Oreochromis niloticus: one gene and its partners. The protein of the gene in region 1 purifies or fractionates together with the protein of each later gene. This does not show direct contact. Links are inferred from orthologs where the notes say so. Each region holds a gene or a part of one and is shown in the gene's direction. Other genes may lie near its edges. The genes, in order: mybbp1a, lyar and sirt7.

Region 1 (6,960 bases):
AACTTCTAACCCCTGCGAATCAATCGTACAGTTTGAGCAGGAGCTGAATAATGCGACTGAAAAAAATCGCACAGTGTATGCCCAGCTTTAGTCAGCCTCTTGGCAGCCTAACGGTTTTAAGAAAAAAATCAACCCACCAACAAGCAATAAAAGTTGACTCTAGTCAAAGGAGTTTGCAAAGAAAAGCGTCTGGACTTCTTTAAGTTGCTTGAAGACGTTTCACCTCTCATCCGAGAAGCTTCTTCAGTTCTCTGAAGAACTGAAGAAGCTTCTCTGAAGAACTGAAGAAGCTTCTCGGATGAGAGGTGAAACGTCTTCAAGCAACTTAAAGAAGTCCAGACGCTTTTCTTTGCAAACTCCTTTGACTACGATGACCTGGATGACTGAGAACCTTCACAGACAAAGTTGACTCTAGTTTCACATGAGAAGAAAGCTGGCAAAAAAGGCTATATCTGTAAAACCTTATTTATTTATTTTTCAGTATTTGTCACCAGTTTATGGGGCTGATATTGTGTTTCTCATCCACAGGCAAGTTTATCATGAGTGCCTCCACCGACACTTGTATCAACATCTGGGACCTGAAAGGAGAGCTGCTCGCCTCTATCAACACGAACCAGATAACCAATTCTTATGCTGCCATCTCCCCGTGTGGCAGGTCAGTCCCACTCCTCATTTATTGCACAGCTTACACTTGAAAGCTTAGAAATGATATACATCTACTCTGTAAGTTTATTGTTTTACTGTTTCATGACATTAAAACAGAAAAAGTGTCTATAGGCAAAGTTTTACAGTAAGAGCTGTAGGTTCTTCTGCTTTAAATTGTTATTGAGAAAAATAAAGGTTTGAAAAGTCATGTATTGAATCAACCTTTTTCCCACATGTAAGATGATTTCTTCATATTGTTTTTACTTTTAAATTCCATTCAGTAAAATAAAAATCTAAATAAAAATAAGTGTTTGAATTGCGTGTCACTCTTTGGGAGCTCTGATCGTGCTTCGTCTATTTGCTCAGGTTTGTCGCGTCCTGCGGCTTCACTCCTGATGTGAAGGTGTGGGAGGTTTGCTTTGGCAAAGGAGGAGACTTCAGAGAGGTGGTGCGAGCCTTTGACCTGAAGGGCCACTCTGCTGGAGTCCATGCATTTGCCTTTTCCAACGACTCTCGCAGGTAATACGCTGCAATATCTGAGATGGAAAATGAATGGTTGTTTATAAGCTGAGGCAGCATAAAAAAGCCTATAAACGTTAAGCTGAGGGTAAAGAAGCCTGCTGCTGCTAACACTGCTAATGTTGGCACACTGAGAAAACTAATCAGGACAATAGTCTGACAGGGAGGCACACATTTCAGTGCTATTTTAAAATGCATTCTAAGTATCTAAAATCATTGCTCTTAAATTCACACACAGTAATTGTATGTAGTCTAACTCCATTAATAGTGCTTGGTTTTGAGTGTTTTCCTCTCTTGGTTAATCAGCCAGGAGAGCATCTCTGTTAATTAATTAGCTTTAGAGGTGGTGGGTGCATGAGGGTCCTGTGTTAAGCTGTGTTAAGCTGTGTTAAGCAGTAATGCTTTCCTTTCATTTTTCAGGATGGTGAGCGTCTCCAAAGACGGCACGTGGAAGCTGTGGAACACGGACGTGGAGTACAAAAAGCAGCAGGATCCCTACCTCCTGAAAACCATTCCCTGCAGCTCGTCTGAAGGCAGCCGGGTGGCCTTGTCTCCAGACGGCCGGGTGGTGGCTGTCAGCGATGGCTGCAACGTGGCCATGTACGATGCTGCCAGCGGAAAGCTGGAGGAGGAGCTGCACGGCGTCCACAGCGTGGAGATCACGGACCTTAGATTTGACATTAACGGACGCTTCTTGGTGTGCAGTGGCGACAAGGCTATCCGAGTGTTTCACAACGCTCCGGGCTATCGGGCTGCCATCAAAGACATGCAGGACATGCTAAAGAAGGCTCAGAACGAGGCCATGAAGCAGAGACTGCAGCAGCAGATCAAAGAGGCTCAGAGTGCCCTGGACGCTGTGCTCGCTGCCCCCTCCAACTAAACAGAAATAACAGGAAATCACACTCTGAATGTGACAGTGTCAGACTCTGCTAATCATTTGTTTGCATAGTCACCTCTGCCTCTTAATGATCTGGACTGTGAAGATGAGATTTGCATGCAATTTAATAAAAGGTATCTTTTTATGGAAGTGCTTCGTTTGATTTGAGACATTTGGACTTCTGAGTGTGATGTGCTGTGATTGTGTTTGATTTGTCATAGTTTGTGAAATTGGTCTCATAGTTCTTCAGAGTCACTATGTGGAAAAAGGAACAGATTAACAGTCCCTTTAACATCTAATGGCCACTGTCGGTTTGGGTGCTTCATTTCCGAGTCCAGGTGTTGTCTGTGCTGACTCACTGTGAAACTTTGAACACAAACTAATGTTAATGTTATTAGTCACACCTTTGCTTTTCCTACTGTGGTAGGTCAAAATTTCTGCTGTGAAAAAACAAGTTAAAAGTAATATTTTCCCAGAGGGTGGCATTGAAGTAAAATTCCTTTTCTGCTTATTACATCCAAAGTAAATCTTTGGAAATCTCCTGTTTGAAATCCTTAAAGCTTTATCTAATGGTATTGCTATTGAGAGCTAAAAATTAGGCCTCAGTTGACACCTGTGCACTCTCACATGGGTGTACAATTCGGTGCAAATACCATAAGAGGATTTGACTTCAGAGCAGAACGTAAATTGTGAGGTGCCTTTCAAGTACAACCAACTAAAAGAAGTGTGAGTGAGATGTCTGGCATCTAGAAAACACAGGTGAAACCACGTCTTTGGATCTGTGAGAGTGATGAAAAAAAAAACTTCAAAGTCAGTCAAACTGGGGAAGAAAAACTAGCTTATTCCTCAGTCCATCCTAGCAGCCCACTGAAGGTGTATTTGATCCTCACAAACAGATATTTTATTCCAGAGTTGTAGCGGGGAAGTCTGGAGTGTCCTGTAATCCCCAGAAAGTCAAAGCATATCAAAATAATCCTCAGGATTTGCAGAATTTGTAACTTGTTTTGAATAAAGGCATATATTTGATTACAGTGTGCTCGTGTTTGAGGATTTGGGTATAAAATACGACCTTAGGTATCTTAATTAAATTGTGCAGTCTGGATTAATTTTTGTAGCTTTAATAGAAGACTTGATTTTTCTTATTGTCCCATGACAGACATCCTGAATCTCTGTGCCCTTTTTGGTATTTTTTTAAGAGTGTCAGAATGAATATTTTGTAAAACATCACCAAAAAATAAATAAATAATATTCCCTTAAACAACATTAATCAGTTATTTCCCAGTCTTTCAGACCAAGACATGGACTTGTTACATTAATCAGAAAAACTGGGTGATCCAGTGTAATGTGTGGCTTGAGTAGTTTATATAAAGAATTCTAAGTCATTTATAGGGTGGAGAACAGATTCAGAATACTTTATTGATCCCAGAGGGAAATTGTTTTGTTACTGACACTGAAAATATAAATATGAAAGACTGAAAATATAAAGTGCAAATTTTAAAAAGAGTAAAACAAAGACACACAAAGTGCAATGTTAAATTAAAATAAAAATGTTCAAATTCTAGTGAAAATGTAATGGATGGACAAATAAAGGCAAATCAAATGAAAAAAGTGTCACCATTTATTTTAACCATTTGGATGAAAGAAAACTTAAAACAAGGCTCATGGTAACAAAAACATGTTGTATGATATTAATTAAATGTAATTCAATAAATAAATGCATTGATATATTTTTATTATTTAGCATTATTATTATTTGAATATGTGGATATATATGCTCATTTTAACAACTCTTTTAACAATATTATATTATATTATATTATATTATATTACATTCCCTTCTGTGAATCGCTCAATAAAGTTTTTTTCTTTTTTTCTTCTTAAAAAAAACATGGCTGGTGAGTTGACCCGGATGTAGTTTCCGTGAGTGAGGCACGTGTTCCCCCTGCAGCAGCATGAGTAGAGGTGGTGGTGGCATTTCGAACAGATGTCTGTAGAGATGGTGGAGCTCTCAGTGAAGGCGGCGGAACCGCTCCGGCCCGCCGGTAACCTGCAGCAGAACCGGGTCTTCCTCGACTTCTTCTGGGACCTGGCCAAACCGGATCAAGAGGTCCGACTGAAGGCGGTGGAAAACCTGATACAGTACCTAAAAACCAACAACAAGGTGAGGCAGAGTGCGATCGATGACACTGAGAGACTCCCTGAACGGAGCGTGGTCCCGCTGCACATGTACTCCTCAGAAGTTTTCCACTAATATTTTTAGAAGTAGTAGTTGTACACATAGTGTCGTATGGAGAGGTGGGAGATGTTTTCATATGTAACTGATTATATGACTGGATATCATACAGGATATCATTGACACACTGAAGTATTTCAAGTATCAAGAATTTAATACTCATATAACAGAGTCAGGCCTATATTATTAACATAAGGCACTATTACCGTAACTACCTGTGTATAAGTACTTGATCAAAACTTGTTAAAATACCTTGTATACTTTATAAGAATCAAAACATCAAATAAAATTGCTTAATAATATAGTAAACTTTTTCTTACCGTACTGCAAGTAGAAATACTGTAAAGCACAGTAAAGTATTTTACTGTCAAGGGTCAAGGTTTAATTGCATGTTTACAGTGGAACTCCATTACCCGTAATGAAATCCTTGGAATCAGAGTTTTATCTGATTGTTGTTGGTCATTAAACTAAACCCAACACTTAAATAAAAAAATATTTATTAAAAAGTGCAATTATAAAAATGTCTGAGTGTAGTATGTAGTATTTCATGTATAAGTATATTCCAGGATATATATATGATTCCACATAGTGTTAAAGTGTCTGTAGTTTAAAAGTTTTAAACAGTCTTTCTTCATGTGTTGCAGGAGGATGAGTTGGAATACACCTTTAAAAGGCTGGTGGATGGACTGGCTCACACACGGGAGACTGCGAGACCTGGGTTCAGCCTCGCTCTGGGGCAGGTGAGTGGAGTTTATCCCCATCTATCTTTGTCTGCGGACCTGCCTCTGTGCACCCATCCACAGCTTCAGCCACATCTTTGTTTCAGGGTTGGGGTTAATAAACACAGTGCAGCAGTTCAACACTACTTTTAATAACAAAAATCCTCTTTATTTATCTTCATAAGTGATAAAATTCCTGGATGTGGCTTTTATGTGCTAAGAGATGGTTGTGAGACCTGCTATGATGTATAGTTTGGAGACTTCGACTGACAAAACGATAGGAAGCTGAGTTGGAGGTGGCAGAGCCAAAGATGCTAAAATTTTCACTGGGAGAGAGCAGGATGGGGAAGGTTAGAAATGAGTACATCAGAGGGACGGCTCAGGTTGAGCTTTTTGGAGAAAAAGTTAGAGAGGTGAGGCTGAGATGGTTTAGAGATGTAGAGAGGAAGGATAGCAGATGTTTAATACAGAGCTGCCAGCCAGGAGGAAAAGAGGAAGACCAGAGAGCAGGTTCATGAGGAAGGAAGACATTGCAGAGCGTTGGCACGACAGAGGAAGATGCTGGGGGATAGGGGGATGTTCAGATGATCTGCCGTGACGACCTTTAGTTGTCAAAGATGAAGATGAGGAGAAAGAGGCAAATGACAAAGTCACAGAAGCAGATGAAGAAGACAAAGAAGATAGAGACAAAGAGAGAGAAGCGATGATTTGTGTGTAAAAGACTTATACACACCTTTTTTTGGCACATTTTTGTATGTACAAAAGTGTCACTATAAGCTTTCTATAGCAATAGGTTATGACATCAGCATGTACACATATACCTAATAAAGTGGTCAAGATGTGTTGCCGTTACTCTTCATTAAAGAGCAAAATTCAAAAGTCTAAGGAGGACATGTGATCATGTTAAAAGCTAACCAGTCAGCTGTAAAGCCCAGCGTTATATTTATCTTAAATGAGGGTGGTAGCCAGAAGTTTCCAGGGTGTCATTACAATTTTGTTTTTCCCCTGTCAAACATGGATATACCTTCTCTCTACCTGTGCTTCAAAATCCTGAATGAATCATCCTGTGCTTTCTGCCTAGCATGGACAGTCTCCCTTTATTTGTGTATCGCCTTCTGTACAGCGTCATGCAATTTAAAGTGCTAGTTTTACCTTATTTTAAGATGAGTATTGAACTGAATATATTGGTCACATGGGTTTCGGAGTGTGTACAAAATGCTGTTTTGCTGCTAGTGTTAGGAAGGTGCTCTATAATAACTGAGCTAAGCAGTAAAGTTTCCTTTATTTTTAGGTCTTGAGTGCCTTTGAAGATGTCTCCCTGCAGAGTATACTCAACAGAATCAAAGAAAAGCACAACTTGCAAGGAGCTAAAAAGGTGAGTTTTGGGTGTTTGGTATCTTTTAGCACCAAAATCGATGAATGCAATCTTTGAACTTGTTTCATCTTTCGTCTTTCAGAAATTTGCCAGAAATGCTATGTTTGGAAACTTGTTTGGTGTTCTCGCCATTCATCAGTCCAACCGCCTCTCTAAGGTAAGTTTTCTCACATTTTTAGCATACTTGGAAAGGTTTTTGCTGCATTAAAGAGGAGAATGTGCCTGAGACAATATATTGAAGACGCCTGCAAATATTTAAGGGATAGTAATCATAGGGAAAGCAGGGGAAAAAAATGATCATGGTTGCATCACTTTCAGGTTTTTGTACGGTTGTAAATTTCACAAGAAATTTAAGATCCAGGGAACAGAGGAGATCCAGGACAGCTGATGCTCTATCAAATACGTTGTGGTCTCTGAGCTCTCTGTCTTGTTTCTGTGCAGGAGCCACAGGTGGTGTTGGGATGTGTGCAGCTCCTGCAGAGCCTCAGTCAGCACAAACAACACCTGAAGGACCTACCCACCAAGACCATGACGGACATCCTCTCTGAGGTGACAGCTGCAGACTAGTTACTGCTATAAAAATGGTCTTTTT
Region 2 (7,033 bases), on another chromosome or scaffold:
ATCTGTCAGACATCTGAGTTTAATGTGAACATCTAAGAATAACTATTAAATTAGAAGAGCACAAAAGAAAATACCTGTGAGAAGTTTCTTCCACAAACGTTGCACTGAAAGGGCTTCTCGCCTATAACAGAACAGATCAGTTTATGCCTAAGAGCATTATAATTAATTCCTATAATTCAACGTTAAATGTGTGATTCTAGAGCTGTTAAAATCAGGAAATACCGGTATGCGAGCGCTTGTGCAGCTCCAGGTTGCTCGGGTGTTTGAAGATCTTCCCACACACCTCACAGCAGTACTGCTTGTGTCCTGATTGCTGAGCTGGCTCCGGCACAGGCTTTAGATTTTGCTCCTCTTCATTCACAGGTGGAGGACTGGGAAGCTGTGCATCTGCAGCTGTGTCTGTAACCTCATCTCTGGCTGCAGTGCTATCTTCTACAGGAGCTTCTGGTGCTTGAACCTGGACCACTGTCTCTCCTTGAAGGCTCACCTTTGAACAGCTAAGGACAGGTTCAATAACTGATTCAGTGCACATCTCCTCCAAAGCCTTCTGAGACCGAAGATAGTTATATTTCTTCAGGTAGACGGCCTTCTTTGGGCGCACTGGCTTGTTCATTGAGGAATCTGGGTTAGGAGTGTTTAGATTATCTGAGGGTGTGAGAGAAGAGTCAGGGTTCCTGTCCACACTCACTGATATGGAAGACTGATTAGGCTGAACTGTGTTTCCTGAGTTCACAGGGGTGCTGTTGCCTGCCTGGCTTATCGCAAGTTGACACTGCTGCTCTTCCACCACTGAAGGGCCCTGGTTTGAATTTGCACTATTGCTCTGTATTGCACTTTGTTTAAAGTACTGCTTACTGTAGAAGTTGCGGAGCTTGTAACCATGAGCTAGCTGCTTTTCTACTGGTGCCTGAGAGCTGCTACCCATTTCACAGTGTGAGCTGCTGTTAGGCACAGAGATTGGCATCCTTCTGGTGTGGTCCACGTCACTGCTGAAGCCAGGCCTCTGGGATTCAGAGGGACAGGGCAGGTCAACATCGTTAGGAAGACTGCTTCCAAGCAGGCAGTCATGCTCTGAACCCAACATGCCTGAGAGAGAAAAGGAAGGCATTTCCACTGGCGGAGGACAGGGCTTGAGGAAAGCATTGCACATGCTCTGCACATTCGGAACCTGCAAACACTGTGCGATATCTAGGAGTGCTTGCACATTATCTTGGTTAATATCAAGATGGGAGGTATACATGTAGTCCAATATCTGGCCAATGCCACTGACATCCTGGATAACTAGGTTGAACACGTCATTCTTCTGACTGGGGGAATTTTGGAACAAGGACCTGAAAAGATCAGAGTAATACTTAATGCATCCGGAAACCTTGAAGCAACTCTGTATGATTAACGTTTATTACAAAACAGATAATGGCACCTGAAATAGGAGCTGAAGGCGGCCAGGACGTTTTTGTGGGCTTTGAAGCAAACACCTTTGACAACCAGCATGCAGTCACAGAGCAGACCCTGAATCCTCTGCTCCTGAAGCTGCTGGAGGAGGTAGGAGCTGTGGCTGGACAAACTGTCCATGGTTACTCAGCGGCTCCACCACTCACTTCCAAAGTCTTCATCAAAAAGCGAGCTAAGGGGACCCAAGTTAAAAACAGACAACAACAACGAGTGATTAGCCAGAGCTGTTATTCCTTTTATTTCTCCTGCCAGCGAGCCAGGAAGCGCTAACAGCAGTTTTGAACAGACCGTATTGACATATGGGATTCAACAGCCGCGCAGAATCCAGTGTGCCTCTGCAGCAAGACCACCCATGCAAAAATTGGACACAAACTGCTAAGCTTAGCTACAAAGCTACGCTAGCCACCCATGTTATTAAGCGGTGTAAATCGATTGAGCACAAAATCCCGAATGAATTACTTTTAAAATCGAGAACTGCTCCTCGGTACTGTGACTTATATATTATCTTAGCCCATAAAGTTGGGGGTCAAACTTACATTAAAGGATTCCAACTTTTATTTGGATGATAGGTCACTTTTCGACAGGCATGACAAACGTCACTTCCTGGTGTAGCTTCAATTTCGAGTTGCTAAACGCTAATAAATATCGTTAACCATTATACAGATATACCATGTTAAATAATGGAACGGCTAAAGTCACTGTAAGGAGAGGACATGCTAAAAGTAACCACGTGGTTCATACTTATTTAAAAAAGTTACACGAGGATCGTTTCCACCCTGCTCGGAACTTTTCTTTGGTTGCATTTGCACAGGGAAGACTAATAATGTAGCGACCAAACGGTCCGGTGTTTTGTTTTGTTTTGTTTTGTTTTTTAGCAAAATCAACATACAAACAAAATGCACCATATATTATACATTCAGAAAATACAAATTTCAACCTTTGTACAAAGGTTAAAAGAAGACGGGGTCATAAAAGTTAACAGAGTATTAACTCACTAAATCAAAATCTTCCAAAAAGGAAACAAAAAATGCAGCCTTTTTCTTTTTAACTAAAGTCAAAGATTTAAACAACAGGTTTAGGTCGTTTTTCCAGTGAAATAAGGTTGGTTTGGTCTTAAAAAACGACATTTATGTATATATTGTATACACAAGATTAATAAAACATTAACACCATAATTGACTTTCTTTTCCTTCAGAAACATTCCAAACAATATCATATTTAAGGTACATGGGGTAATTTGAATCCCACTCGATTGAAGCCAGGTATGAAAATCCAACCAAAAGATTTGTATAAAATTGCACAAAAACAAATAGATGGTGCAAATCCTTCTCTTCTGTTTCACAAAATACACAATTAATAGTTTCTACCTTAAATCTATCACCAAGGAGCGTATTTGTTGGGTTAATTTTATTTAAAATTTTGAATTGGACTTCTTTCCCTTTAGGAGGGATAGGGAAGGGGATATAATTAGTTCTTATTCTTTCAATTTCTTCCTTTTGGAAATCTTTTAATATGTAATTACGTCTAAATAAATTTGGAGAATAAAGACTCCTTAAGGAAGATCTTAGAAACTTATTATTGCATTTAACATCACAAAACTGAATACCATCTATATATAACTACCTTAACTTGGGGGAGATGTCAGAATATATTATATCACTTACGACTATGTTTTTAAGTGACAATGGAATTTTACAACCCGATTAAATTTACTTTAAGAACATTGGATATTAAATTTTTGGCAAAAATCGTAGTGTCCTAGAGCATGTCCCTCCTCATCTACAAATTTTCAGTAAACACTTAATCTGGCTGATGAATCTTCACGTGACACCTGATAATGATATTCTGTCTAAGGAACCTGCCATGCTACACAGTGTGGTAATAATTATGGGCAAAGATAAGATAAGATAACCTTTATTAGTTCCACACGTGGGAAATTTGTTGTACCATATCCATAAGTGTAAATGGCACAAGTGTAAATGGCAAAACAAAAGACCTTCGCTAAGTGAGTTGAAGATTGAATTAATAATACAGACTTAGTAATATGTCACGTGAAGATTCGTCAGCCAGATTAAGTGTTTACTGACAATTGACAGTGATGGCGGACATCATCATCACTATTCCAATCAATCCTCTCCACACAGACAATCATAAACACACTCGACTATCACTAAATCAAATTTAACGCATACACAAACACGATTTGTAATGACGCTAGTTCAGTTTACAACAGGGCTCATTCGCTCGGTCAGCAAGTGGCAGTATCCTTGTACACTGGGGAGTAAACTTCCATTAAACGAAACAGGTGAAGAAGAGAACATCTGCACATGCGAGGTACGGATCGGGGAGTCCTGATCCGTAACTGTTTTTTTTTTTCTCGTTTTTGTCTACATTATATTAAAATGTTTCATTACTGCAAAAATTTTAAGAGAAACTTATTATTGTTAACATCTTAACAGATATTCTGACCCCGTAAAATGCTTCGAGCGGAAGTAGTGGCCTTTCGCACATGCGTGGTACCGATCGTGTTTCCGGTACAGATTGGGTAGTGGTACCCTAATGTGTGTTTGGAAAAGTTTGTAATATAACGAAGCTGCTGAACGTTTGCGCTCAAATGTGATTTTGAGGAAACAGATTTAATCCGTGGGCTCACACCGTTTTGACCTCCACTTTTCCCAGGAGATGGTTTGTTTTTGTAGTGTTTTACAGTTTTAGGGGACCAGGGTCTGCCGCCGTTCTTTGGCTAACGTTAGCTCGTATCAGCGCTGTCACATGCGTTCAGCTTTCGCATGAGAGTTTAACCGACTTCGGTTTATAGGTCAGTACCGCAGAGTGTAGGCCGGTTCAGTTTTGACCGTTATCGCCGCACTCTAGCCAAACAGGAGAGTCTTTGAATATGGTGTTTTTCACCTGCAACGCTTGTGGGGAGTCCCTAAAAAAAGCTCAGGTTGATAAACATGTAAATATCTGCCGGGGCTGCCAGGTCCTGTCCTGCATCGACTGTGGAAAAGACTTCTGGTAATTAACGACTGTTCACTGCTACCCCAGGCTAACAGGCGCTAGATCAGGCTCGGTGCTAACGATTTGTGTGCATTTTTGTACTAGGGGCGATGACTACAAAACCCACATTAAATGCATCAGTGAAGATCAGAAGTATGGAGGCAAAGGCTACGAGGCGAAAACAAACAAAGGAGATGTGAAACAGCAGCAGTGGCTCCAGGTAAGATTCAGGGAAGGAAAAGAAAAGAAAAACTCTGCAAAGCTTTTGGATCACTTAGGAAAGCCAACTGTTCTACCTTTGTCCTTTTCCTGAAGAAAGTCCACGAAGCCATGAACAAACCTGGAGTCAGTGCAAAGCTAAGAGATGTCCTCCAGCAAGTCAGTACTTACGATAACGTACCTAGAAAGAAGGCCAAGTTTCAGGTTAGTATTACTTAAAACTGTACAAAGTAATCAGTTGTCATGTTAATGTTGATTTACTGTCACATTTTTCTTTTCCCATCAGAACTGGATGAAAAATAGTCTCAAAATACCAAACCCCAGTCTGCAGGAGGAAGTGTGGAATATACTTGCTGCAGCTGATAACGTAAGTTAGGCTTGTTAGTTCTCATGTTTTTTGTTTTTTCTGTGAATGTGTGCTTATTAAATTTGAATGTTACCAGGAAATGAATGGAAGCAAACTGCTCCTTTTAACATCAAGTATGCCATAAAAATAAAGAGTCTAGCATGTTTACAATAGCTGTGGTGATTGTCTTTAACTGCCACTGTCTGACAGGCTTCAGAGCCCCCACAGCCAGCTCGGCAGACAGCGGCTGAAGTCAAAGTGCACACTAATGGAAGAGAAGAGCCGAATGGCCACCCAAGTGTTGAGGAAGAGAAGAAGAAGAAAAAACTGAACAAACGGGAACGCAAAGAGGCCCGACAGCAGAAGAATGGGAAAGCTACAAAAGGTGCTGAAAATACAGTCGCACAAGAGCTGGAGGAAGAAATGGTGGGCAAAAAGAAAAAGGACAGAAAGAGAAAACAGCTCTCTGAAGAACCCAGGGATGATGAGAACAGCCATGGCACTGAAAATGAGACATCGAGCAAGAAAACAAAGGGTGAGTCAAGATTTCTGAAGTGCTAGACATTATCTGTTACTGTCATGGTTAAACTGAGTTTAGGTATTCTCTAACACTCAAGCATAGATTGAGGATGTTTACATCAGCAGCTTTGTGAAGTCTGGTCAGATTTATGTTTATTTTTTTGTTCTAAAGTGTGTGTGTATTTCATATTTATTAGATAACTCTGTTATCATCCTTTTCCAGTTGATGAAGAAATGGAGGATGCTGATGATCAAGAAGAGACTGAGGATCGAGCTGTTACTAAAGGTACGGTGGAGCTAGCAATGACTTGAGATTGCCCCGCTTTAATAAATGATTAGTCCGTGATTAGGCAGCAGAGGTCAGTGTTGCCTCTTTTGTTCAGAGTGAGAAAGTGACCCTTGGTGATTAGTGTCTGCACTGAAAGCTGATTTCTGTTTCTCATCAGGCAAATTTAATTGGAAGGGGAACATCAAGGCAGTACTGAGAGAGTCACCTGACCAGGAAATGTCAGTGAAGAAACTCAGAAAGAAGGTGAGCCATGAAGTGTTTTCATTGCTATATGAAATGAGGATGAAGTTGTTTATTTGTATATCAAACTCTTAAAGTTTCAAAACTCTATAATCTTTTATTAACACTAAAGTAAAAGCTTGCTCATGTTTTTCAGGTTTTGGCTGCCTACTATTCCTACACTGGTGATAGGAATTTTAAGAAGGAGGAAGAAGTGCTAGCACTTTTCAACAACAAGATCACCAAAAATCCAAAGCTTAGAGTTTTGAAAGATAGAGTTAGACTTGTAAAGTAGACTCATTCATCTTCTCCTTTTGACATATTGCATAGATTTTTAAAATTTCAAAGCCATCATTGTCTTATTGTTGTCTGTCATCTTACATTGGACTTCCTTTTTTTAAAAATACAGTTGACATGATGTTGAAGATAAAACATTTTTACCACTGATTTAAGTGTCTGGTTCCTGTTTGACTTCCAAAATTTAGTACTGTTTAATGTATGACAATTGTGATAGATGGCTGCTCTGTTACGCATTCCAAGCTCACGGTAAGGCTGGGAAATGGCACCTTATCTGTGGGATTGGATGTTAGAGTGGGGGAAGGGTAACGGGAGAGGTGCACCTGAGGTGAATTAGACTCTCACACGGGACGAAGTTAATGCACATTCCTCGGCACCCCGAACGGGGTTCACTTGGCCAGGGACACAGAAGCCCCATAGAAGCAAGACGCCTGGTGTCAGCCTCAGGTGAAGTTTTAATGCTGTCTGATTTTGCACGACTAGAATGAGCAGTCTCTTTACCCTGTACGCACACGCAGACACACAGACACAGACGCACACACAAACAGGAGGAAATCTGCCCAGCTTTATGAAGCTCAGCTAATCCCAGCAGGTTTAACACTGATGCTCATTCATCACACTGCTTACCTTGTAATTGTATATTACATACTTTGGGCTTTAGTCAAGCTGTAACTGAAGTTTGGTAGTATTAA
Region 3 (7,707 bases), on another chromosome or scaffold:
CTTCGGGTGTGTGTGTGTATACATATTTATATATGTACACAAAATCATGAATTCATTTTAGTGCAGTCAGAGAAAGCTTTTAACAAAATTAACACTGGATCATCTCTCCAGCAGGAAGAGAAAATATGAGTGGATGGGATGAGCAGCTAATCATATTTCACTTTATGTTCTCTATTCCTTTTACTTACCCAAAGTGTCCTTCATAACAGGTGATTAACCTTATGTTTAACTCCTGACATGCACAGGATATGCATATAGTTAGCTATAACTTATTACAATACAATACTACCCATGTTCCTGTGTACCACAGCAGAAGACTCATTAATTCATAAGTGTGTGATCATGTGACAGCAAATCAAAAGGTTAAAGTAAGAAAGACACATACTGTTTTGGGTTTTTTACTCAGTTTCACTGTAAAATTAGATCTCATGAGGATGTAAGAGTACACCAGCTGGGTCAAAAGAAGCATCACGCAAACGCAGTTGTGGTTAGAAGTTTGTATACACTCACTGTCGGCATGAATGTCACAGAAAGTTTGGTCTTTGTTCATTTTTAACTTCATTTTTCAGGGTGGAATGGTACATTGTACAGCATATACATCACACATCTTTAATGACTTTTAAAAAGTCACAAGATTTAATTTATTTTGGATTTTCTGCAACCCACACAGGGTCAAGTATACATACAAGCTCAAATATATCCATGCACCCCCACTAATAGTTGGTTAAATTTCTTGCAGCAAGTTCGACCTTGACCATATCCTTTTTGTAGCCATTAACGAGCTTCTGGCATAGTTCTGGCTGGATATTTGACCATTCTTCTTTACAGAATTGATTCTGAGTTCATTTAAACTGGTTAGTTTCCTGTTATAGACCCAGCTGTATGGAGCCCCAGAGCATGATGATGCCACCACCATGCTTGACAGCTGGTCTAGTGTTTTTATATTTGAAAGTCTCACCTTTATTCCTCCAAACATAGACCTCTGCCTCGTCTGACCATAAAACTGTTCTCCAGAAGGCAATTGGCTTGTCCATGTGGTTAGCTGCATATTTCAGTCTAGCTGGAGGTGTCGGTTTTGGAGCAAAGGCTTCTTTCTCTGCACCCTCTCAGTCCATTTTGAGTTTCAGCTCGCTTCACTGTGGATACTGATGCTGACATTCAGCAGTTTCCAGTTCATGGCAGTGTTGAGCCTTGGTGGTTCTTGTGTTGTTCCTGAACATCCAAACCAATTTCCTGTCATCTGAGCGTGACAGTTTGGGTCTTCTTTCAGACCCTGGCAAAGTGGTGACACATAAAAATAACATGTACTTTGATACAGTTGTTTGAACTGGAGATATTGGAATCTGTTTAGAAATAACTCCAAGAGACCTTCTTAACTCTGGTAAATCCACAGTTCTCCTTCTTAGATCTTCACTGAGTTCCTTGCACTTGACTTCATTGTTCTAATTATTGATCAATCCGATGAGTGCCATTAAACAAATTCTTCTAATGCTGGCAAAGAGAAACTATCAGCTGTAGTGTGTCTGTGTAGGTTCTCAGTCATCCAGGTCAGGAGCTTGGAAAGAAAAATTTCCTGACAACGTTTCACCTCTCATCCGAGGAGCTTTAGAGAAAATTCAAAATAAGTTCAAACGTATGTACCAAATTTTTGTTTGTTTGTTTTAAGATACATGCTGATGACAATCATGTCACCGTGGAAAAAGAACTGTTTGAAGAAATCATTATAGGCCCAAAAATACCACGGCATTCATGCCCATGATGATTGTATGTAAACTGCTGGCCACAGCTGTATTTATAATCATAGTGGTTATTTTATCACTTATATGTGATTCACATATAAATATGGTTGCTGTTATACTTAGAATACCTCCCGGTGATAACGCCAAACTATTTGAATTGTATTCATTCTCCTGTTCTGAGTTTCTAGGCTGAGAAGTAGAAATTCAAATATTACATCAACAGTGTATGGATTTGCTTTTGATACTGGTGGCTGCTGCAGAGACTGTGTTCTAAATATTGTGCATTTTTACGTGTGTGCGTGCTTGTGTGTTTAGGGTTCACAGACTGGCCGCCCGAGAGGAAAGAGCTTTCTGTCAGCTGCAACACAGAAGTCACTGGAGAGGAAAAGAGGAATGATGTGAGTTTTTCCTGCATCGTTGCTGTTTTTCTGTTTTCTTCACAAATGTGAACCGAACCCAGTCATTACAAGTTACATAAGAACCACTGGAGTGGGTTTTTATTGCAAGGTAAAAATGCAGCAGTTCCTTTAATTTTGTGATGAATTGAAAATCCTGCACCACAGAAAGAAAAAACTTTCTTCTTCATTTCTTTGTCAGCTCCTAAAACTTGTCTTGTCTTTGTTTCAGGATCCAAAGAAAGGCTGCAGGAAGGCACCGGGGGGTTATGACGAGGACAGCACAAAAGTCTGGATTCTCTGCTGAGCTCCTGCCAGAAACCAAACGAGGACATTTCAGAGCAAATCCTCAGAGGGTCCCCAAGAGCGCTTCCTCCTCTAGACCCCAATGACACCTTCCTAATTGGCCCCAGTGAGAACTCCTAACAAGCCCTCTAGTGATTACATGAATAGAGTATTACTAATCATCTGAGAGTTTCCAAATCCAAAAACCAAATTTGATTCAAATGGATGACTAATGTATATCATTGTATTTCATCTCAGGGGCTTTGAGAACATTTTTGACACCATGGTGTCTACAGAGGAGCGGCTATGTCACGTCTGCTTCCGGCATCTTTTAGTTATTTATTTATTTATCTTTTTTGCCATCTTCAGATTATTCATGTTGAAGATATTTGTGTGAAAATGTTGAGTTGACAGAAAAAATCGTTTGGCAGCAACTATAAAGGGTTGTTCACAGCACCTGAAAGATTTATAGACTCTCAGCAGATGTTCTGACAGCTACAGTGAACAGTATTGATCATCTCTCTGTTCATTTGGGTACTAGAGGAAGACAGCAGTTCATAAATTTGGGGTCAAATATTAGATTTGTGTTGGGAACAAATACTCTTTAGTAGGTTGTGCGTTGTAGTCTTCATATAGGCAATCGCTTTGTTTAAAGGTGACCTATTGTGCTTATTTCCAGCCTAATATTTTTATTCACGAACTCCACTAGAGTGGCTTTGCATGATTCATAGGTAACAGAAATCCTTATTTATCTTTTGCTGAGGCTTGGTGCAGCTTCTCACTCCATCCACTGTCTGAAATAAGATACTTTAGCTCCTCTTTTGTTAACTTTGTGACCACTTTGACTGAAATTTCAGGACCACAGATCCTTAAACATAATCTTAAAGTGTGACTGTGGTCACATGCCTTAAAGTTGGCAAGCTAATAGTTACACAGCACCTTGTTTCACGTTTGCTGACATTGGCAGCTCTTTGCCTGCATAAGCTTTATAAACATCTATGAAACAGAATAAAATATACTTCAATCTTACTCTCAGATTTGAAACATAGCTTGGAGCTTTGTTCTGCTTATTTTCAGCTCCATTTTTTGTTGTTTCACTCTACCAGCATGGCTTTGCATGATTAACAGTTAAAAGTTTTCCTTATTATCTGATACTACGCCTTGGCGTAGCACCTCGCTCCCATTAACTAGCTGAAATGAGCTGTTTTAGTCAACTTTCTCCTGATTGGCTGCCCCTCATAAAACGGGTTTCAAGTAGGAAGTGGGTGGGACTTCTGTGCCTGATAAGACCATATTAGGGATATCCTCTTTCTTTTAAAGCCAAGCATAGATAAAACAGTTAGAGCAGTGTGAAGCCTTAACTTTTGTCTGTGCCACAGTATTTATGACAGAAAACAAGAAAAATTATTATAGATCCACTTGATGATGTTAGGAAGTAAATATGTGGTAGATAAGCCTTTTCAGAGCAGACACTTTGGAAAAGCACCCTTGTATGTGCTGTGCTGTATGGCTCACTGTTACATTTAATGGGAAATAAGCATTGCTTGTGTTTTTCCTGCTGCTGTTATAAATCTTTGTCTTTTGTGGAAAAAAAACAGTATTTCCACTTTTCCACAAACACATTGCTGGTGCTCAGTGTAGTGCAGACTAGTCCCAGGTGACAAAAGCTGAGGCCAGCACTACACTTCAGAGATCCCAGGCACGGTGATTTAGGCACTCAGGTCAGTGACCATGAGAAGGACTATCACAACAACCAGCAGAGGCAGTCCTCAGATTCTCTCTGTCATCATTTTTCTTGCCACAGTAGCTCTTAACTTCTCGCAACTCAGCATAATCACCACTAAAACCAGTTGAGGGGTGGGCCGGTTCTCTGGAAGCTCTCTGCGTGGATGGAAAAGAGGTGCATTAGGACACCCAGCTGAAACACACCTGTTCATTCATCACCTTCATGATTCACCACCTCTTGTATTCACACATATTAAACCCTGCTTGTGTGATATGAGTAGTATTTTGTTCGTCTTCTGATATTTGACTTGAAGTGTTACTCTTCGTGTTGCCTTAAATATTTGTAGCTAAAACCTTTTGCAAATTTTGTATTGTTGTGGATTTTTGATTTGTTTTAAATGTTATTTATTTGTTCGTGTTTGATAATAATAAACTTTTATTTACACTGAGTTGCTGATGTGATGTGTGAAACTGAGGGAAAATACAGACTCCCAGCAGCAGGGGGCGGTGTTCCCGGCTCTCACCCGGTTTCTTTTTTACCTTCCGCTTCCGGCTGTGTCTGGTGCTATGAGCTTTGTTTTGAATAGACGTCTTCTCGTCAGCTGATTGAAAACAGGATGGCGGAAGAGCAGGACGCCGGTGTTTCTTCCCGGGCGCAGAGGAAAGCTTTGAGCAAAGCTAAAATACTACAGCGAGAGAGCGAGAGGGAGGTCTTCAGACTGGTGAGAGGGGAGAAAACAGATGCACATTTACAGCTAGCAGGCTAGACTAGCTCATGTTTGCTGTGTGCATTGTGAGGCTTACCCGGTTCCTCTGTCTTCCTCCCGCAGGTCGGGCGGGTCCTGAAAAAACCGGAGTCTGAGCGGTCAGAGGAGGAGGCCGCTGCTCTGCTGCTCCACAGAGACACTGTGGAGGAGCTCTGCAAGAGACAAGTCCGCAGAAATGTGCTCAAGAGGAAGCAGGAAGAGGTGAGACTCCGGCCCAGAGAGGCTGGATCTGGCCTGCTAAGATTGGTTTGTCAGCTAGAGGGACAACTTGAGAACAGAAGTGGAAGCAGCAGGTTTCTGGGTTGATTGTGTGAAGACTCAGAGAGGTTGAATGGTAGTCCCTCTTTATGCACAAAGTCTAATAAATACAAAAGGACTAAACCCATTCTGTTAAATGCACTGGTACTTGTACAGTGCTGTTCTGCTCTAAATGGGCACTAACAGCTTCATTCACCCAATCACACACATTCATTTCTTACACCTAAGCACCTTTTTAACATTCACACATGCACTCCCAGTCTGATGGATGCAGCAGGCTAGATTCGGGCTTCAGTATCTTGCCTAAGGATAAGTCAAAATGCAGACTGGAGGAGCCAGAGTCAACCACTGGTCTCCTGAGCTACCACTCCGGTCCTCATGGACTGCTCATGGAGGAGCAGTATGAGGATTCAACATCTACCCATTTATTATCAATAAGAGTTAACACACGCACACATACAACCAGAAGCAGTATCTCTCAAAGTGCTAAATGTTAGCAGCTATTTTTGTTGGTTTTTAATCCTAGACTTAGCCAAAGTATGAACTGAGGAGCTGAACCAGGCGTGGTTTAACTCTTTTCCCCGTAAAGACGACATTTGACAAGCTCCCCAGTACCCTTAATGACATGTATTGACACCTCAGTACCAATATACTCTGATTTGAGTTTGATGACCACTAGAATAGTTTATGAAGGTCAGCTGCATAGAGAGACCACCCTCACGAATTTCTGATGGAAACCCAGTCATTTTGTTCTATAAGCAGGCCTAAAATATGGTAAAAACCACTCTGTTCAGAAAAGAGCTTCAAGGGTTATTCCTAGTAGGCTAAAACAGGGTGGGAGACATTACTTGTTAAAACATCCTGTGTTTTCTTCCTCTCTTAGAAGCATTTGTGGTGTTTAAAAAACTTTCATTAAAGATCATGGTTGGGTGACAGTGTCCTCCTGCTCTTTCTGCTGTGAGAGGGCAGCGAGGCTTCAGAGTGAAACGTACAGTAGTTTACTGCATGATTTTAAAAATTAAAACTGCTTCTTTTGCTTCGGACTTCCTCCCTTCAGTGATCATTTTACATTATTTTGTCATGGTTTAAAAAAATCAGATGCAAACCATCGTCACCGTCACTCCCTGACCCACCCTCCAGACAAACCCTCAATCTTTTTCTGATTATTTTTGAAGCTCTAATGGTCTTTAGTACATCCCTAATGTCTTTTTCAGGTATTTGATGGTGTTGATGAGCTGAAAAATAAAGTCAGGCAGCTCGCTGTGGCAGTCAAACAAGCCAGTCACCTGGTGGTTTACACTGGAGCCGGTATCAGCACGGTATGTTAAACTCTTCCTCTTCATTTTCGCCTTCCTTTTCCTTTTTAAACTTTCACAAAACTGACATCGTCTATAATTTCAGGCAGCTTCTATCCCTGACTACAGGGGCCCTAACGGGGTATGGACGCAGCTACAGAAGGGTCGGGCCATTAGGTGAGATACAGAGTGTTTACTGTGACATGAAATATATGTATTACTCTCCCCTAGTGCATTCTGTTTGATTTATCTCTGCGTTTCTTTACGAACAGCTCGTCAGACCTGAGTAAAGCGGAGCCGACGCTCACGCACATGTGCATTAAGATGCTTCATAAGGAAAAGCTGGTATGTCACACCAAAGTCCTCCAGGAACATATTTTGAATTTGAATATTGAATATTTTGCATTTAAATGAGTGATTAGAGATTTGTAACTTCAGTTTCAATGGTTACTGCGACATAAAAACAGCATCTAAAGACTCATCAGTTAAATCCAATAATTAAAAGAAAGCTTTAAGTTAAAAACGTTATTTACTTTTTCCAGTTATTCATTCAGACAGAAGCTTCAAAATAACTTCCAAGATGTTCCAAAATCACAAGACTTACTTCTAGAAGGATTTTAATACGGTTAGCCAAGAAAAACAATAGCTACACTTACCAGAACTTTACTATGATAACAAGCAGATGTGACACACACCTGAAACATGATTGGTTATTTGTGTTTCCTGCTCTGGCATTGATAAGGACAGGACAGCGTCCATCTTTAGCGTTACAGAATATTACCTCGGTTTACCCCGGTGCTGCGTCTCCTCCTTGTAGCATCTGTGCTCACATCACATTTAAAGGCAGTGCTTCATGTTCTGTCTTTGTTTGCTCTGTGTAAAGGTTAAGCACGTTGTGTCTCAGAACTGCGATGGACTTCACCTGCGTAGCAGTCTGCCCAGACATGCCCTCTCTGAACTCCATGGAAACATGTTTATTGAGGTAAGAACCACGCATCCTCAGTCCTTAGACTTTGTAGAAAGCCTGGAAAGAATTTGCTGTGATGTTTCTAAAAACAGCATCTAAACCTAAACCCCTACAGATCCAGACGTGTTTGTTTCTCATGCAAAAATATTTCTCAGGTGCATCATGTCTTAAAAGCGCTGGAGGTTAATGTTGCTTTTTAACAGCCGTCACACACGCTGCTTAAATTGCTGCTCGACTCTCCACATAGGCCCGTTTAATGTCACTTGGGTGCTCCTA

What was found.
Region 2: the proteins of mybbp1a (region 1) and lyar purify together in Homo sapiens (affinity purification with mass spectrometry; 3 studies listed by BioGRID and IntAct, with this or other methods). This does not show direct contact. The link is inferred for Oreochromis niloticus from reciprocal best matches to the Homo sapiens genes MYBBP1A and LYAR.
Region 3: the proteins of mybbp1a (region 1) and sirt7 purify together in Homo sapiens (affinity purification with western blotting; 3 studies listed by BioGRID, with this or other methods). This does not show direct contact. The link is inferred for Oreochromis niloticus from reciprocal best matches to the Homo sapiens genes MYBBP1A and SIRT7.

The regions. Positions count from the first base shown.
Region 1 is NC_031975.2:24,293,246-24,300,205, reverse strand, and holds the start of mybbp1a (myb-binding protein 1A-like protein), read left to right. Parts: upstream 1-3,950; 5' UTR 3,951-4,025; coding exon 4,026-4,202; intron 4,203-4,918; coding exon 4,919-5,014; intron 5,015-6,284; coding exon 6,285-6,368; intron 6,369-6,450; coding exon 6,451-6,525; intron 6,526-6,809; coding exon 6,810-6,917; intron 6,918-6,960. Other genes in the region: tbl2 (transducin beta-like protein 2), read left to right, coding at 529-655, 1,012-1,164, 1,585-2,044. UniProt on the Homo sapiens protein: May activate or repress transcription via interactions with sequence specific DNA-binding proteins. Repression may be mediated at least in part by histone deacetylase activity (HDAC activity).
Region 2 is NC_031970.2:28,789,903-28,796,935, reverse strand, and holds lyar (cell growth-regulating nucleolar protein), read left to right. Parts: upstream 1-3,941; 5' UTR 3,942-4,348; coding exon 4,349-4,470; intron 4,471-4,557; coding exon 4,558-4,672; intron 4,673-4,767; coding exon 4,768-4,875; intron 4,876-4,957; coding exon 4,958-5,038; intron 5,039-5,227; coding exon 5,228-5,552; intron 5,553-5,759; coding exon 5,760-5,822; intron 5,823-5,982; coding exon 5,983-6,068; intron 6,069-6,201; coding exon 6,202-6,339; 3' UTR 6,340-6,491; downstream 6,492-7,033. Other genes in the region: zbtb49 (zinc finger and BTB domain-containing protein 49), read right to left, coding at 75-121, 223-1,331, 1,421-1,572. UniProt on the Homo sapiens protein: Plays a role in the maintenance of the appropriate processing of 47S/45S pre-rRNA to 32S/30S pre-rRNAs and their subsequent processing to produce 18S and 28S rRNAs. Also acts at the level of transcription regulation.
Region 3 is NC_031971.2:32,548,893-32,556,599, reverse strand, and holds the start of sirt7 (NAD-dependent protein deacetylase sirtuin-7), read left to right. Parts: upstream 1-4,614; 5' UTR 4,615-4,761; coding exon 4,762-4,866; intron 4,867-4,974; coding exon 4,975-5,112; intron 5,113-6,383; coding exon 6,384-6,488; intron 6,489-6,570; coding exon 6,571-6,641; intron 6,642-6,736; coding exon 6,737-6,809; intron 6,810-7,347; coding exon 7,348-7,446; intron 7,447-7,707. Other genes in the region: uncharacterized protein cp110, read left to right, coding at 2,055-2,137, 2,367-2,526. UniProt on the Homo sapiens protein: NAD-dependent protein-lysine deacylase that can act both as a deacetylase or deacylase (desuccinylase, depropionylase, deglutarylase and dedecanoylase), depending on the context. Specifically mediates deacetylation of histone H3 at 'Lys-18' (H3K18Ac).